2 linked regions of the Macaca mulatta genome follow. The protein of the gene in region 1 purifies or fractionates together with the protein of each later gene. This does not show direct contact. Links are inferred from orthologs where the notes say so. Each region holds a gene or a part of one and is shown on either strand. Other genes may lie near its edges.

Evidence for each region. The genes of interacting proteins can lie anywhere in the genome.
Region 2: the proteins of ARMC8 (region 1) and TCEAL9 purify together in Homo sapiens (affinity purification with mass spectrometry; 3 studies listed by BioGRID and IntAct, with this or other methods). This does not show direct contact. The link is inferred for Macaca mulatta from reciprocal best matches to the Homo sapiens genes ARMC8 and TCEAL9.

Annotation. Positions count from the first base shown.
Region 1 is NC_133407.1:41,184,285-41,188,396, reverse strand, and holds the start of ARMC8 (armadillo repeat-containing protein 8), read right to left. Parts: upstream 2,808-4,112; 5' UTR 2,790-2,807; coding exon of another isoform or gene 2,745-2,789; intron 1,948-2,744; exon of another isoform or gene 1,893-1,947; 5' UTR 1,820-1,892; coding exon 1,817-1,819; intron 1-1,816. UniProt on the Homo sapiens protein: Component of the CTLH E3 ubiquitin-protein ligase complex that selectively accepts ubiquitin from UBE2H and mediates ubiquitination and subsequent proteasomal degradation of the transcription factor HBP1.
Region 2 is NC_133426.1:109,998,127-110,001,927, reverse strand, and holds TCEAL9 (transcription elongation factor A protein-like 9), read right to left. Parts: upstream 2,511-3,801; 5' UTR 2,380-2,510; intron 1,894-2,379; 5' UTR 1,826-1,893; intron 1,372-1,825; 5' UTR 1,299-1,371; coding exon 981-1,298; 3' UTR 504-980; downstream 1-503. UniProt on the Homo sapiens protein: May be involved in transcriptional regulation.

The sequences.
Region 1 (4,112 bases):
GAGGCTGAGGCAGGAGAATCTCTTGAACTGAGGAGGCGGAGGTTGCAGTGAGCCAAGATAGTGCCACTGCACTACAGTCTGGGCAACAAGAGCAAAACTCCATCTCAAAAAACAAAAAAGAAGATAAAGAAGAAAATAAAGAATCTCAACTCTGAAGCTGAATATAAACTTGGGCCTTTAGGCAAAACAAACTCAATAAAGAAAAGAAACCGAGGAGCAGCTGTGCAGAGTTCTTTAGGAAAATTAATGTAGACATTGGGCTTGCACTGAGGGGGTAAGACACTAGAGACAGTAAAAATAACTAAAAGGACGCTGTGGTAGTGCAGGCACAAAACAACAAGGTCCTGAATGAGGGTGGTCATGGGAACAGAAAGATACGAGAAACACTAAGAATAAAGAAGCAACAGAGCTTAACAACTGATAGATATAGGGGGATGAAAGAAGGAAGAACCAGAGATTATTCAGGAGGTTTAACAGTGACTCATCAGTAAAAGATAATACCATTAACAGAAATTGGGAAGTCATAACTAATTCCCCTTAGGAGAAGGAATGTGCTTTGCTGGAAGCGATGGGTGTCATCCACACACAATTTAAGATACAAGACTAGATGTATAAGAAAGTCAAGGTTGGCAATGTAGATGTGTGAACTGATCAGTTAAGGTTATAAGAAAATCAATGAGATCTCCCAAGGAGAAGGTATAAAGAGACTCAAATGGAAATCCTTTAAAACAACTTGAAGGCCTCCTTGCTGAAATTATGTTTATCAAGTTACACCATCATTCAGACTAGGAGCTCCTTAAACACATTTCTGATCTCATCCTTGCATTCTCTAAGGTATACAATGCAGAGCTTGTACATAACTGGTACATTGTAGCTTATTAAAGGAATCAACCATTCAAGATAATTTCTGATGAATACTTCCTGTTCTAGTTTGCGTTTCAAAACGTGGTGCTCTGGGTAGTACTTTGAAAGGTACAGGTTTTACTTTAAATTAGTAAAATCAGTGAATTTAAACATCTTAAATCATTTACCCAAAAGCTCCTACTTCCCCCCCCCCCCCAAAAAAGCCCCTAATTAGACTAGGGCTAAAGGCAAATTGTAAATAGAAGTATTGATAGAAAATACTCTTCAAGAAGTTTTTGAATAAGCAGAAAACATTATTTACCAAGGAAGTGAAACAAATGAAAACTTTAAATCATATGCATCACACAAGTTGACAACATCCAAAAAGTAAGCTTCAGGTGAACTGAAGAATAAATGAAACCTAAATGCATAATTAAAGGGGAACTGAGAACAGCCAAGACACACACTTTTTTTATTTTTATTTTTTAACATAATGAGGTAAAAGTCATTGGCCTGCACTCCCACAAAATATTCCTGGGTATTACAGTCAGTGATGGAGTAACAGGCTAATCTGATATAATACTTAGGTAAACGGTATTTCCTTAGTTGCAGTTTAAAAATAAGAAAAAACGACTGCTAAAATGGATCGGGGGAAAAATCTGTTGACAGGCTCACAAAATTAAATTATTATTGTATTGACAACTTAAGCCTTTTCAAGGTTGAGGTCTGCCACACCGCTCTAACCCTGAATCATAAGCAAATGTCCTAGCTGCTTTCAGATAGGTGTTTGTGGGACAAGTCAGAGAAGAGAAAAGAAACCGGTTGTAGTTACAAGACTCTAGCAACCCGACAAGTCATTTATAATCCAACGACCCTCTCAGTATCAGACGGGCTTCCACAAGTCTAAAAGATGGTCAATTAGTATGTGCCTGCTTGTTTCCAACAATAGCAAATGAACCATTGGTAAACTGACCATTCTCAGAGTCGGACAGCTCGAATTTGTTGCAAAATCCTTCGAAGTTATCTCCCAGTAACTTTCATTCCTGGTCCTGGTTCAAGAGCAACATAGTGAAAGGTGAAAGTCGTCTTTTTCTTTAAAAAAAACTTTTTTTAAAAAAAAACAAAACAGGTTTTACTTCCTCGCATGTCAATACGTTCCCTTCTTTCAACAATGGGGAAATCTCTCCCCCTTTTCCCCCCTTCAATGTTTGACTCCCCTTAAAGAAAAACGGAATACCAGGCACAGGGAACATAGAGTTCCTTTGACTCAGAGCCGCGACCTCTGAGCAGAGCGGAGGAAAGGGGCTTAAATAACCACACACACTAGGAAGAGTCGCAGCTGATACGAATCACCATTGCCAAAAAGCAAACAGCTTCAGCCGGTGCCCAGGTGCTGGGACGCAATAGAAGTCGCACAGACTTGGCCTGGCAGCTCTGAGGAAATGGGGGCCAAGGAGCCTGCACCTCTTCTTGCCAAAGCCCGGGAGAGCTGAGTGAGCTTTCGTTCCCAGGCCGGCTGCAAGCCTGGCGCTTCACAAGGCAGAGCGCTCGGCCCCCGGGAAGCGGCATCTCTAAGAGGAAGGCTCAGTGAAACGCTTGGCAAAGTCCAAGCCGCGCCGCCGGGCCAGTTGTCTGTAAGCCCAGCTACCCCGCCTGCCAGACGCCATCCTGGAAACCCGCACCGGCAGGAGCTCCCGGAGTTGGAAATGTCTTTGGCTCGGCCGGGGTCCCCTCTGCCCGTCTATCCCGCCTGTCCACCCTCGCTCACTCCCTGGCCCAAGACTGAGCCGGGGACCACCCCAGGGGGTGGTGCCCAGGAGGCACACCACGCTTGGGGGAATGGTGGAGACCGGGATGGGGCTCCCTGGAGGGCGGGCGGGCGGCCGCAGCGGGTCACTCACCGAAAGGACGCTCATGCGGATTGGGGTCTCTAACAGGCACGCCATCTTGAGCCTTCCCACCCGGCTGCTGCAGGCGCCGGCGCGGGGGCCGGCACTTTCGACAGCCAACTATTGGCCAACGCTAGTCATCGCTCCTTAAAGACAGCCGGATAGACGAGAACTGGTCACGCTCTGGACACCGCTCAAGTACCAGAAAGGCCCGCAGAAAGAAGGGCAAAAGGGAATCGCGTCAGGGGCTGTCCTACGAATCGTTCTCTCAGAAACAGCAGCTACTCTGAGCCTGGTTTAGAGGTGGGAGCGGGCAGCGGTTTCCGCATGCGCAAAGAAGATCTGCCGGCCCCACCTGCCGCTCGCGGTGGGCGGGGCCCTAGAGGCGGAGTCTCGCCCTGGCGCTACGAGCTCTACCGACTGATAAATTGCAGTTTGTGGGTTCCCGTATTCATATTTGGAAAAAGTAGTACGTGGAGCCATATACATAGTTTGAAGTTCACTTTCATATTCATTCTCTCTCTCTCTGCACCAAACTCCCGGCGTCGTTATCTCCATTTTATAGGTGGGGAAATTGCGATCCCAGAACCTTTGTCAACCATAAGAGTGATTGTTTCACGATCCAGTACAGAAGTGTGACTTGCCTTAGGTTGTGTGTCGGCCCCGTTTATTCTGGTGTAGTGTTGAGAATAGCCAGAATGCTTGAGCTTCTTCCCAGCTACTTCTCAGCTGCTTTACCCTGGGTAAGTTATCTAACCTTATGTTTTGAGTTTCCTCATCTGTAAAATAAAGGTTAATGAGGATAAAGGAGTCAACAAATGTGAAGCGCTAAGAAAAAACCTAAAACATGGAAAGCGTTATACATATGTGTTAATGTTTCTCCAGCTTCTGAGTTAAGTGGGGAAAATGGGGGCAAATATCTAAATATTTCACACTAAAACACTCTGATAACCGAAGCCAAATAAAAGTATGCTTTTAATTATAGTTGATTAATTCAGCTGTCCTACTACTTTGTGTGTGTGTGTGTGTGTGTGTGCGTGCGTGCGCGCGCGCGCAACACTGCCCTTGACTTGGTTGGACAAGTTTCACCTTCGTACTGCTTGCAACCAGTAAGGTTTTCACAGTAGGGTTGCAATTAGCCTATTAACATTACTTGTATTCCTTCCATTTCTATAGCCACACCCTAATTCAGGCTCTTGTAACCTCTCCCCTGGACTAGAGCAAAAGCCTTCCAACTGGTCTTGTAGCTGATAGCCTCTCCCTCACTTTGCTCTTCACTGTTTTCCTGTCTTCCTCCTGTACTTGGTTTCCAAATTTAGTATAGCATTTATCACCCCTGTTTATGGGTCTGTGTTCCTTAACAAACTGTTGAGTTCCTGG
Region 2 (3,801 bases), on another chromosome or scaffold:
GTTCACACCATTCTCCTGCCTCAGTCTCCCAAGTAGCTGCGACTACAGGCGCCCGCCACCGTGCCTGGCTCATTTTTTGTATTTTTAGTAGAGATGAGGTTTCACCATGTTAGCCAGGATGGTCTCAATCTCCCGACCTCGTGATCCGCCCACCTCAGCCTCCCAAAGTGTTGGGATTAGAGGTGTGAGCCACCCAGCCTTGGGTTTGTTCTTAATCACAGATAAGAACTACTTTCTCCACCCTTCCAAATCCCTGAAATTAATCTCTTATGGAGTTGGGAATGGGAACAAAACTCTGTCAAACATAGCTCACAGTCATTACCTTATTTGGCCCTCACCAGATCCTTGTGAGATTATTTTCTTTATTTTAAAGATGAGAAAATATGTAAAATTTATTATTCTAGCTAAGTGGTCTGGAGTTGCTTTGAAGTTCACATTTGCTTCTAAAATTCTGTCAACAAATATTAAATGCCCCAATACGTTTTGAAATAAACTAGTAAGTGCTGCTTGTTGCTTCTTTTTGTTATAAAGCTTTTATTATTCTAGCAATAATAATGTGTGTTAATTTTAGGAATATAGAAAATACAAATAAGCAAAAGGAGAAAAATCATTCATAATCCCACCACCGAGAGGCTATACTTTCTTTCATCCTTCACAAGTTATGTCCATATATGTAATATACAAATGTACTTTTTACCTTTCAAAAATATGATATTCACATATTACTTAGCCTTTTTTCCATTTTATATCCTACCAAGAACCTCTTTTTTACAAATGAGTAAAGTTCTTTTATTAAAAGACAGAGACTTGTAGATTGGTTCAAAATACAATAAACAATGAGATGCAGATAACAAGAGATACATCTAAAACCATTAATAGCAACAGGTTATAAGTAGAAATATGGACAAAGGAATATCAGGAAATGCTAATAAAAAGCAAGCTATATGGTATTGTTAATATCAGATAAAAATCAAGGTAAACTACATTAAATAGGGGTAAGGGTGGTTTCGATTAACCTTCCAACGCATCACTATAAGTTTGTTTCTGACTCTCCTTATCTCGTCTATTTCATCCACTTCTCTAAACATATCTTCATTGCTTAAATGCCTGTTGTGTATATCTTCTTTAAACTCCTGGAGAGATTGAATCAGCCTTTCTCTAAAAGTTCCTTTTGCTTTGGCCTCCTCCTCTAGCTTCTCCTCCTCCTCCTCTGGCTTTTCCTCAGGCTTTGGCTCTTCCTCATGCTTTGGTTCACTCTCATTTTCTGGTTTTCCTTCAATTTTTTGACAGGATTTCATCTTGTATCTCTACCTCTCTTCCTTCCTTCCTTCTTTTATTTTTTTGCTTATTCTTCTTGGAATACAATAACTTCTAGAAAGCAAAAAGAAGACAGTAAGTTAAAGACTTGGTGAGTGGACAGGTGTTGTGGACAGAGGTCTCAGCATTTAATTTTTTTTTATTCAGACTGTTATAAAATATCTTCCACTAAGAAGCCCAGTCAGCAATCAGAGCTTCACTATCCCCACTCCTCTTACCTCCACTTTCCACCTCCTCACTTCTCCTGTCCTTCCCTCTAACCTTTTCCAAGGCCCTTCTTTCCGCCTCCCAGCCCTCCCCAATCCTTTTTCCCCCATAGGGCCTAACACAGGGACCACGCCAGAAAAGAGAAAGGTGGCTGGCTGGCAGGCAGAGGAAGAGGGGAAAGGAGAAGGGGGAGAGAAAAGAAGAGGGGAAAGGGGTGGGGTGGAAGGGAGCCGGCAGGAACAGTGGAGCTTACAACCTTTGTCTCCACCCCAGGAGACTTTATAATATTCCTCTCACCTACCTGGCACTGATCGGGTCAGTTTCTTCCTCCTCCTTTTCTAGCTTTGGGTCTTGCTAGAAACAACAGACCTGCAGACAAACGGGAAACGGGAGGGGACGGTGGGGGTGGGGCGAGCGCTTGGTGGGCCGACCAGCGCCAGAGACTGACACACGTAGCTTTCCTCCTTTAGGGTTTCGAATATGGAAAGTTTCCCACCTTTTGTTTCCTCCAGTTCACCCCCTATCCACAGTGCATGCAAGTCACTTCGTTTTTCCCATCAAACAAAGAGTGAGAAAGCAGATTATTTCCAAACTATCTTTAAGACTGAGGCGGGTTCGGGAGGAGGGTGGGGGTCCAGAAAGCAGGATTAGATAGCAGAGGACGATTATTTTTAAACTATCACAGGTCTACTTGTTCTTCTCCTAGGACCCCTAGTCCCTTTCCCAAGGGTCATCAGTTCCTGTAGACCTGGAGGTGGAGGGTGGAGAGACGGACCTGACTGGCACTCCCACAAGTCTCTGCCTTAAGCCCCCCCACCCTAGAAATCCCCAGTCAACACCTACATTGACACCAACCTGCAAAATTCCCGCAAGTTTCACTCCTTCCACTAGCCTCAGGGACCACCGCCTGCACTGCTGAAGGAAGCTGGTATCCAGACGGGAACAAGGACCAGACTACCAGGACTTCTGCACACGTCGACTCCTGGTCACATGAGATCTACGTCACCAGTGAGCTCGGGTCCCTAATTTCCACTCCCACCAAAAGCGCGGCAGAAGTGGGCCCACCCTCTGCTCCCTCCCCGCCCCCCACTTACACATTTGGCCCTGTCAGTCTTTTCTGTTGTTTCCTATCCCGGAGGGAAAAATGTTATTTGCTTGACTCTGATTACTAGGGAGGGGCTACCTCTTTTTCTGGAGCTATTGAACTTTTCTACTTCTTTCGAGAATTGTCTCTTCCAGTCTTCCGCTCCCAGGATAACTCCTCCATCAGTCGTCCCTCCCCTAGCCTCCATTTCCTCTGCAATCTGGTTCTTAGCTGTTGTGGAGCAGGGTGGGCTTGGCAGCAGTTGTGAAACAACAACAAAAGACCCTGGAACAAGAGTGAGATGTTTTAATGCAATTTTTACTGTTTATTCTTCATACTTCTATATTCTTTTTTTAAAGGTAACTTTAATCTTTCTCTCTCTTTTTTCTTTCTTCTTTCTTTCTTTTTTTTTTTTTTTTTTTTGAGACAGAGTCTCACTCTGTTGCCCAGGCTGGGTTGCAGTGGCGCAATCACAGCTCACCGCAGCCTCAAACTCCTTAACACGAGCGATCCTCTCGCCTCAGACTCCCAAGTATCTGGGACTACAGGTGTGTGCCACTATGCCCAGCTAGTCTTTTAATTTTTTTGTAGAGACAAGGTCTATGTTCCCCAAGCTGGTCTCCAACTCCTGGGGTCAAGTGATCCTCCTGCCTCAACCTCCCAAAGGGCTGGAATTACAGGCCTGAGCCACTGAATTGGGCAACTTTTATCTTTTTATAGTCAGAAAATACAAAGACAAAATTACTTTAATGACATGAGTTAATATATGTACAGTGCTTAGAATAGTGCCTGGCATATAGTAAGTGCTTTTAAAGTGAAAGCTGTTGTTATATTACACATTTGTGAGGAAGATGATTCAAAATTTTTTTTAAAAGAGTAATGTTTGATTCCAGAGTCCTCATGGTGGTGTTACCAGGAAGCTGTGCTGCCTGAAGAATCATCAGTTAATCAATTGTCAGGTACGCATTGTGAGCCTGAGTTTCCTCATCTGACAGAAGGGAATAATAGCATATGCTCATCGAATTGAGATCTATTGAAAATAAAAATGAGTTAATTTTTCATCTATACAATTAGAAAATACAAATATTTATTATATTCAGAGTTGAGGATATGGTAAAACAAATATTCACATGTACTGTGAGAATATTAAGTAATACAACATTTTTGGAAGTCATTTTGGCAATATCAAACTT